Saccharomyces cerevisiae S288C: one gene and its partner. The protein of the gene in region 1 binds, or shares a complex with, the protein of each later gene. Each region holds a gene or a part of one and is shown in the gene's direction. Other genes may lie near its edges.

Region 1 (5,477 bases):
GAATGAAACTGCCGAAGATATTTCACTGCTTGTTTCCTGTATGTTATCCTCGTTTAAAATCGTCTTGTTGTAATACTCCTCCAGTTCCCTAATATTGATCTGGTACTGGTAGTCATTTAATGGATTTTGCTCTTGATCTGTGGAAAACAACGACGTTAAGTCAGTCTTCTGAGATTCTGGTCTAGTATATGATAATTGAGCCCACATATTGCGTTATTTTTTACGTATTGAGTTTGCAGCACTGTTTCGCTTTCTCTCAAGATGCACAAATACGACCTACCAAGAGCCTCCAAGTCCCACCAACGATTATGTCTTCTCTCAAATATATATACAAGTTACATGTAGAGAAATCGAGACGAGATTGCTGGCACAATGCACCCAACTGCATGTGCCATTGTGCATCTACACCTCCAAATTAGGGTGTCGATTGGCGTCGTCTTCTTTAATGTGGGTGCATTTTGCGGCGGCGCGACAAATATAGAGAACTGACCAAGGCAGTGCTGTCAAGAAGAGAGAATGGTTACGGCAGCGAAGACGCAAATGGGCTAGGCAGAATGGCATTCAAGTTATGGCTACTGGATGAGGAAACAATATACGAGCACGTGTTCGAACGGTACACACAATTGGAGGGCCAGTCCGGGAAACTGGCGCAGGATTTGGGTATTCAGGATAGAAGGGGCGGTGTGCTAGAGATAACGTTTGAACCCTCTGGGCTGGAAGGCGGCAGAAAAAAAAAGCGAGTGAGAAGAAGAAATAAGGCTAGTAGTGTTGAAGAAGATCAGAATGTTGCTGTGGATAGCTATCATGTTAGCGTGGGGCAGTCCATATCAAGCTTGCGCTCGTCCAGAGACAACGGAAACTCCACCACAGGATACGTTTTGTGGTCTACCACACCTTTCTTCATCAACTGGCTGCTGTATAGTACTAGCGCTGCACCTTTCCGTCTTGGGAGTCAGGTGGAAGTAACCTGCGGGTCTTCTTGCGAGGGGCACAAGCTTGAGTTGCCCAGGCTGGTCGACCTCACGGGCGCTGATCGCGGCAAGAGAGGTATCTTGGAACTTGGAGCAGGAATATCAGGTATTTTGCCCGTGATTCTTGGTAACTTCGTCGACACCTACGTGTCGACAGATCAGAAGGGCATTCTTAATAAATTAAAAGATAACATCATGGAAAACTTATCACAGTTGACCAGAAAGCGGTGCATTTCCCGATCACTAAGATTGGAACTTCCCACCGTCGAACCAGTTGGCGACGCTGATATCACCGCAGCGTCACTTCCATCTAAGTCTACGTTGCATTTGGAAGTAGCCGCTCTAGACTGGGAGAAGATAAACTTGCAAGACAAAAAGACCCACTCTCTGCATCCTGAGTTGTCACTCATAGGTGAAACATGTTCTTCCGTGTACGTTATAGCTATGGATGTCATATACAACGAGTACCTGATAGATCCGTTTCTGAAGACGCTCAAGCAACTCAAACACTGGTTACAAACTACCTACAATTTGCAATTCCATGTCCTCGTGGGGATACACTTGCGGTCACAAGAGGTGACAACACTGTTCTTGGAGAAAGCCATCATAGAATATGACTTCACGGTTTATGATATCGTTGACCAGGTCATACAAGAGTCCCGTTTTAACTTTTATCTTATCACCTAGTCCCATATATAATAATAGAAACAATATAATGCTGATAATCTTATTTTTCTTTGCGATGCGGCAGTGCCTCTTCCCCTCCGTACGGATTGGGAAGATTTTCATTTTTGATTAGCAAGGGCACTAAGCCAACTCTGTGTGATATAGCTAATAATCTAAAAGCTGCTGGATCCGTTATCGTCAAGATAAAGCGGACTTAGCGATTTACATAGGATCACACTTTCTACACACATTTGATTTTTAAGCTTCATTTTCCACTGCACTTATTTTTCCCAAGCATCGTGTTTTTTTGTACATTATAAAAAAAAATCCTGAACTTAGCTAGATATTATGGCTATCTGGGAGCAACTAGAAGTCTCAAAGGCGCACGTTGCTTATGCATGTGTTGGTGTCTTTTCATCTATCTTCTCTTTAGTGTCACTTTATGTCAAGGAGAAGCTTTATATTGGTGAGTCCACCGTAGCAGGTATATTTGGGCTAATTGTGGGTCCTGTTTGCTTGAACTGGTTTAATCCTCTGAAATGGGGGAATTCAGACAGTATAACATTAGAGATAACGAGAATAGTATTATGTTTGCAAATTTTTGCCGTTGCCGTGGAACTGCCACGGAAATATATGTTGAAGCATTGGGTATCTGTGACGATGCTATTATTGCCAGTGATGACAGCTGGATGGCTTATTATTGGTCTCTTCGTTTGGATTCTTATACCTGGCTTGAATTTTTCTGCTAGTTTGTTGATATCTGCGTGCATTACCGCAACAGATCCTATTCTGGCGCAGTCGGTCGTCTCCGGTAAGTTTGCCCAAAGAGTACCTGGTCACTTAAGAAATCTACTGTCTGCAGAGTCAGGCTGCAATGATGGTATGGCCTTTCCTTTTTTATTTCTTTCTATGAATTTAATCCTACATCCCGGTAATGGAAGAGAAATTGTCAAAGATTGGATTTGCGTTACTATCCTGTATGAGTGTTTGTTTGGATGCTTGCTAGGTTGCTTCATTGGTTATGTAGGCAGAATCACCATCAGGTTTGCCGAAAAGAAAAACATTATCGATCGTGAGTCGTTCTTAGCATTTTACGTTGTCCTGGCGTTCATGTGTGCTGGGTTCGGCTCCATTTTGGGTGTGGATGACCTATTGGTATCATTTGCAGCCGGTGCGACTTTCGCTTGGGATGGGTGGTTTTCTCAAAAGACACAAGAAAGTAATGTTTCTACCGTGATTGATTTGCTACTAAACTATGCGTATTTTATCTATTTTGGTGCCATTATACCTTGGAGTCAATTCAACAACGGTGAAATTGGCACAAACGTCTGGCGTTTAATTATACTTTCGATAGTGGTCATCTTTTTACGTAGGATCCCTGCAGTCATGATATTAAGACCTCTTATACCTGATATAAAATCGTGGCGTGAGGCACTTTTTGTGGGCCATTTTGGTCCTATTGGTGTAGGTGCAATTTTTGCCGCTATACTAGCTCGTGGAGAATTAGAGTCTACCTTTAGTGACGAACCCACTCCTTTAAATGTTGTACCATCAAAAGAGGAAAGTAAACATTGGCAGCTGATAGCCTGTATATGGCCAATAACTTGTTTTTTCATTGTTACTTCTATCATAGTTCATGGTTCTTCAGTTGCAATCATAACTCTAGGTCGTCATTTGAACACGATAACGTTAACCAAAACATTCACTACACACACCACCAATGGTGATAATGGGAAAAGTTCATGGATGCAAAGGTTGCCATCGTTGGATAAAGCTGGACGATCATTTTCATTGCATCGTATGGATACTCAAATGACTTTATCAGGGGATGAAGGTGAAGCAGAAGAAGGAGGAGGTCGTAAGGGACTAGCAGGAGGTGAAGATGAAGAAGGATTAAACAATGATCAAATTGGTAGCGTCGCAACGAGCGGAATTCCTGCAAGACCCGCTGGTGGTATGCCAAGGAGGAGGAAATTGTCAAGAAAAGAGAAAAGATTGAACAGAAGACAGAAACTGAGAAACAAAGGTAGAGAAATATTTTCATCAAGATCTAAAAATGAAATGTATGATGACGATGAGTTGAATGATCTGGGACGAGAAAGGTTGCAAAAAGAAAAGGAAGCACGCGCCGCCACATTTGCATTGAGCACAGCCGTCAATACACAACGTAATGAGGAGATTGGAATGGGTGGAGATGAAGAAGAAGATGAGTACACACCGGAAAAGGAATATAGCGATAATTACAATAACACACCAAGTTTTGAGTCGTCTGAAAGATCTTCATCTCTCCGAGGAAGAACTTACGTACCAAGAAACCGTTACGATGGAGAAGAGACAGAAAGCGAGATTGAAAGCGAAGACGAGATGGAAAATGAAAGTGAAAGATCAATGGCCAGTAGTGAAGAGAGGAGAATTCGAAAAATGAAAGAGGAAGAAATGAAACCTGGTACTGCTTATTTAGATGGTAATAGAATGATTATTGAAAATAAGCAAGGTGAAATCTTGAATCAAGTAGATATCGAGGATCGCAATGAGGCGAGAGATGACGAAGTTAGTGTTGATAGTACAGCCCATTCAAGTTTAACTACCACAATGACCAATCTATCCAGTAGTAGTGGGGGAAGGTTAAAGAGAATTTTAACTCCCACATCTTTAGGAAAGATACATTCATTGGTTGATAAAGGAAAGGATAAAAATAAAAACAGCAAGTATCATGCATTTAAAATAGACAATCTGTTAATCATCGAGAATGAGGACGGTGATGTTATAAAAAGATACAAGATAAATCCTCATAAATCTGATGATGATAAAAGTAAAAACCGCCCAAGAAACGATAGTGTTGTATCAAGAGCTTTAACAGCAGTAGGACTAAAGAGCAAAGCGAACAGCGGCGTACCGCCTCCAGTAGATGAAGAAAAAGCCATCGAAGGACCCTCCAGGAAGGGCCCAGGGATGTTAAAGAAAAGGACATTAACACCTGCGCCACCGAGAGGAGTTCAAGATTCCTTAGATCTGGAAGATGAACCTTCATCTGAGGAGGATTTAGGTGATAGTTATAACATGGACGATAGTGAAGATTACGACGATAATGCATATGAATCAGAAACTGAATTCGAAAGACAAAGAAGGTTAAATGCGTTAGGTGAGATGACGGCACCAGCGGATCAAGATGACGAAGAGTTGCCGCCCTTACCTGTGGAGGCACAAACAGGAAACGATGGTCCAGGTACAGCGGAAGGAAAAAAAAAGCAAAAGAGTGCTGCTGTTAAGTCGGCGCTATCAAAAACGCTTGGTCTCAATAAGTAATTTATTAATACACAAAGATATATTATTTTAGTATATATATAAACGAAATGCCTTTTTTATTTACATGTGTCGGAAATAGAGTAGATGCGGTAAAGAGGGGGAGGGGGGGGGGGTATGCGGTTTTGTCATTACTCTTTTCCGTTAAACTTAAAAGCTTAAAACATCATTGATAAAGGTTTTTAGTGAGGTTTCACTGGGGTTCACATTGATGAAATCTAATTGTCTGTAGGAGCCATTGTTCAAAAATCCGCGGCTGATATCTGAATATTGAATGATGTATTTATCATCTTGGGCAGTGTTCGTAGGAAATCGTAAATTCAAGACACGATGGGTCAAAACATCAGTCAATTGGTATTGCTGTATTAGGTTATCTGGTAAAGAAATGTTGATTTTTTTCATAAGATTCTGATATTTGTTTAACTTCCAGTGTGACTTGAGAAGAAATTCTTGGAGGCCTTTTTGTTCAGATAACCAAGCATCCGGATTGGTCTGGTCGAAATCAGGTAAAAGATCTTGAATGTAATCTGACGTGAT
Region 2 (2,880 bases), on another chromosome or scaffold:
AAACCGTGTCACCAACAAGGTCGTATCTCAATCGCAAATAATTTTCACGACAAACATTGCTGCAGGTGGTCGTGAATTGAAGGTTATAAAAGAATGTCCCGTGGTAATAATGGATGAGGCTACACAATCATCAGAGGCTTCAACACTAGTCCCACTTTCGTTACCAGGTATAAGAAATTTTGTCTTCGTTGGGGACGAAAAGCAATTGTCAAGTTTCAGCAACATCCCTCAACTGGAAACCTCACTATTCGAAAGAGTCCTATCTAATGGCACGTACAAAAACCCACTAATGCTGGATACGCAGTACAGAATGCACCCAAAAATTAGCGAATTCCCCATTAAGAAAATATACAATGGTGAATTGAAGGACGGTGTCACGGACGAACAAAAGGCATGGCCTGGCGTGCAGCATCCGTTGTTTTTTTATCAGTGCGATTTGGGGCCCGAGAGCAGAGTGAGAAGCACGCAAAGAGACATAGTCGGGTTTACGTACGAAAACAAACACGAATGTGTAGAAATCGTGAAGATTATCCAAATACTAATGTTGGACAAGAAGGTTCCGCTGGAAGAAATTGGTGTCATAACGCCCTATTCTGCACAGCGTGATCTGCTGTCTGACATCTTGACCAAAAACGTAGTTATCAACCCCAAACAGATTTCTATGCAACAAGAATACGATGAAATTGAGCTATTTAACGCGGCTGGTTCTCAAGGAACCGCCGGCAGTCTACAAAACAATGTGATTAACATCATCAACGGCCTACACGTCGCGACCGTAGACTCCTTTCAAGGCCACGAAAAATCTTTCATCATATTTTCATGTGTCAGAAATAACACCGAAAACAAAATCGGCTTTTTACGTGACAAAAGAAGGTTAAACGTGGCATTGACAAGAGCCAAGCACGGACTAATTGTGGTGGGCAACAAGAATGTCTTAAGAAAAGGAGACCCCCTATGGAAAGACTACATTACCTACCTCGAGGAACAAGAGGTCATATTCACTGATCTCACAGCTTACTAGCCGGCTAGGCGGCGGCAAGAAAATCCACTGTTTATGTATTGATTGCGCAATGCAGAGATAGATAGATATAGATAGATAATGGACGTAGTTATAGAACAGAAAATCGGTAGATCGAAAACACAGGGGAAAAAGGGGGGGGGGGGGGGGAGACAGCGCAGCCACGTGACGGGCTTCCTCTTTGGAAAGTGGAGCGAAGTTTTGCGGAAGCTACTTTATTCCGGCCTGGAGTCAAAAGAGGAAGCTCGGTGGCAAATAGCTTCCTCTTTGTGGCCGGGGCGCGGGGGGACGAGGCAAAAAGCAAAGAAAAGCAAAAAAAATAAAAAAAAAAACAAAAAAACAGGGGTATGAGAAAAAGACACGCTTTTCCACGCGCAGCAAAAAGGAAAAAGGAAAAGGAAACTCTTTATTATTGGACCTTAAACCTGAAAACGAGACGAACCGTAACATAAAACCGTGTAGTTTCTGCAAAAATAACTTAGTTTTTCCTACTTTTCAAAATTGAGAGCGCAAGCAAGTGAGAAGAAAAAGCAAGTTAAAGATAAACTAAAGATAAAAATGTCAACCAGTCGTGAAGATTCTGTGTACCTAGCCAAGTTGGCTGAACAGGCCGAACGTTATGAAGAAATGGTCGAAAACATGAAGACTGTTGCCTCCTCTGGCCAAGAGTTGTCGGTCGAAGAGCGTAATTTGTTGTCTGTTGCTTATAAGAACGTTATTGGTGCTCGTCGTGCCTCTTGGAGAATTGTTTCTTCTATTGAGCAAAAGGAGGAGTCCAAGGAGAAGTCCGAACACCAGGTCGAGTTGATTTGTTCGTACCGTTCGAAGATTGAGACCGAACTAACTAAGATCTCCGACGATATTTTGTCCGTGCTAGACTCCCACTTAATTCCATCAGCCACCACTGGCGAGTCCAAGGTTTTCTACTATAAGATGAAGGGTGACTACCACCGTTATTTGGCTGAATTTTCTAGTGGCGATGCTAGAGAAAAGGCCACAAACGCCTCTTTAGAAGCATACAAGACCGCTTCTGAAATTGCCACCACAGAGTTACCCCCAACTCACCCAATCCGTCTAGGTTTGGCTCTTAACTTCTCTGTCTTCTATTATGAAATTCAAAACTCTCCAGACAAAGCCTGCCATTTGGCCAAGCAAGCTTTTGACGACGCTATTGCTGAGTTGGACACTCTGTCTGAAGAATCATACAAAGATAGCACACTTATCATGCAACTGCTAAGGGACAATTTAACCTTATGGACTTCAGACATGTCCGAGTCCGGTCAAGCTGAAGACCAACAACAACAACAACAACATCAGCAACAGCAGCCACCTGCTGCCGCCGAAGGTGAAGCACCAAAGTAAGTATTCTGATAAATCTAAAGAGAAATTACTAAAAAAAAGAAAAAAAAAAGAACGGGGGTGTAATAATTTGTAGTTCATTATTGCAATTATATATCTATATCTATATATGTATATAACATTAACATGTGCATGTACACACGTAATCGCGCGTGTACATGTCTATATGTGTTACTTGAACTATACTGTTTTGACGTGTATGTTTATTTATCTCTCTTCTGATTCCTCCACCCCTTCCTTACTCAACCGGGTAAATGTCGCATCATGACTCCCGACAATAATCCCCTCTGGTATAGCGAGAAGCAACTTTAGCTTCTTAACGGCAAGAACTTTTTTATGTTTGTCGCACCTGTATCTTCACAAAAGTTGGATACAGCAATAAGAAAGGAAACCACATTTGTGCCAATGCTTGCTGCTTCATTCAAACGCCAACCATCACAATTGGTCCGCGGGTTAGGAGCTGTTCTTCGCACTCCCACCAGGATAGGTCATGTTCGTACCAT

What was found.
Region 2: the proteins of NHA1 (region 1) and BMH1 are in contact, whole or in part, in a crystal structure (PDB 6QK8), measured with the Saccharomyces cerevisiae proteins. Residues at the interface, in NP_013239.1 of Saccharomyces cerevisiae: Arg478 (codon at 3,417), Ser479 (codon at 3,420), Phe480 (codon at 3,423), Ser481 (codon at 3,426), Leu482 (codon at 3,429), His483 (codon at 3,432), Arg484 (codon at 3,435), Met485 (codon at 3,438); in NP_011104.3 of Saccharomyces cerevisiae: Glu16 (codon at 1,622), Tyr21 (codon at 1,637), Val48 (codon at 1,718), Lys51 (codon at 1,727), Arg58 (codon at 1,748), Lys125 (codon at 1,949), Arg132 (codon at 1,970), Tyr133 (codon at 1,973), Gly174 (codon at 2,096), Leu177 (codon at 2,105), Asn178 (codon at 2,108), Val181 (codon at 2,117), Tyr184 (codon at 2,126), Asp218 (codon at 2,228), Leu221 (codon at 2,237), Ile222 (codon at 2,240), Leu225 (codon at 2,249), Asn229 (codon at 2,261), Leu232 (codon at 2,270), Trp233 (codon at 2,273).

Annotation. Positions count from the first base shown.
Region 1 is NC_001144.5:416,452-421,928, forward strand, and holds NHA1 (Nha1p), read left to right. Parts: upstream 1-1,985; coding exon 1,986-4,943; downstream 4,944-5,477. Other genes in the region: TIS11 (Tis11p), read right to left, coding at 1-207; RKM5 (S-adenosylmethionine-dependent methyltransferase), read left to right, coding at 555-1,658; SLS1 (Sls1p), read right to left, coding at 5,091-5,477. UniProt on the Saccharomyces cerevisiae protein: Sodium export from cell, takes up external protons in exchange for internal sodium ions. Also capable of exporting potassium ions.
Region 2 is NC_001137.3:544,035-546,914, forward strand, and holds BMH1 (14-3-3 family protein BMH1), read left to right. Parts: upstream 1-1,576; coding exon 1,577-2,380; downstream 2,381-2,880. Other genes in the region: ECM32 (RNA helicase), read left to right, coding at 1-1,021; PDA1 (pyruvate dehydrogenase (acetyl-transferring) subunit E1 alpha), read left to right, coding at 2,783-2,880. UniProt on the Saccharomyces cerevisiae protein: Involved in growth regulation.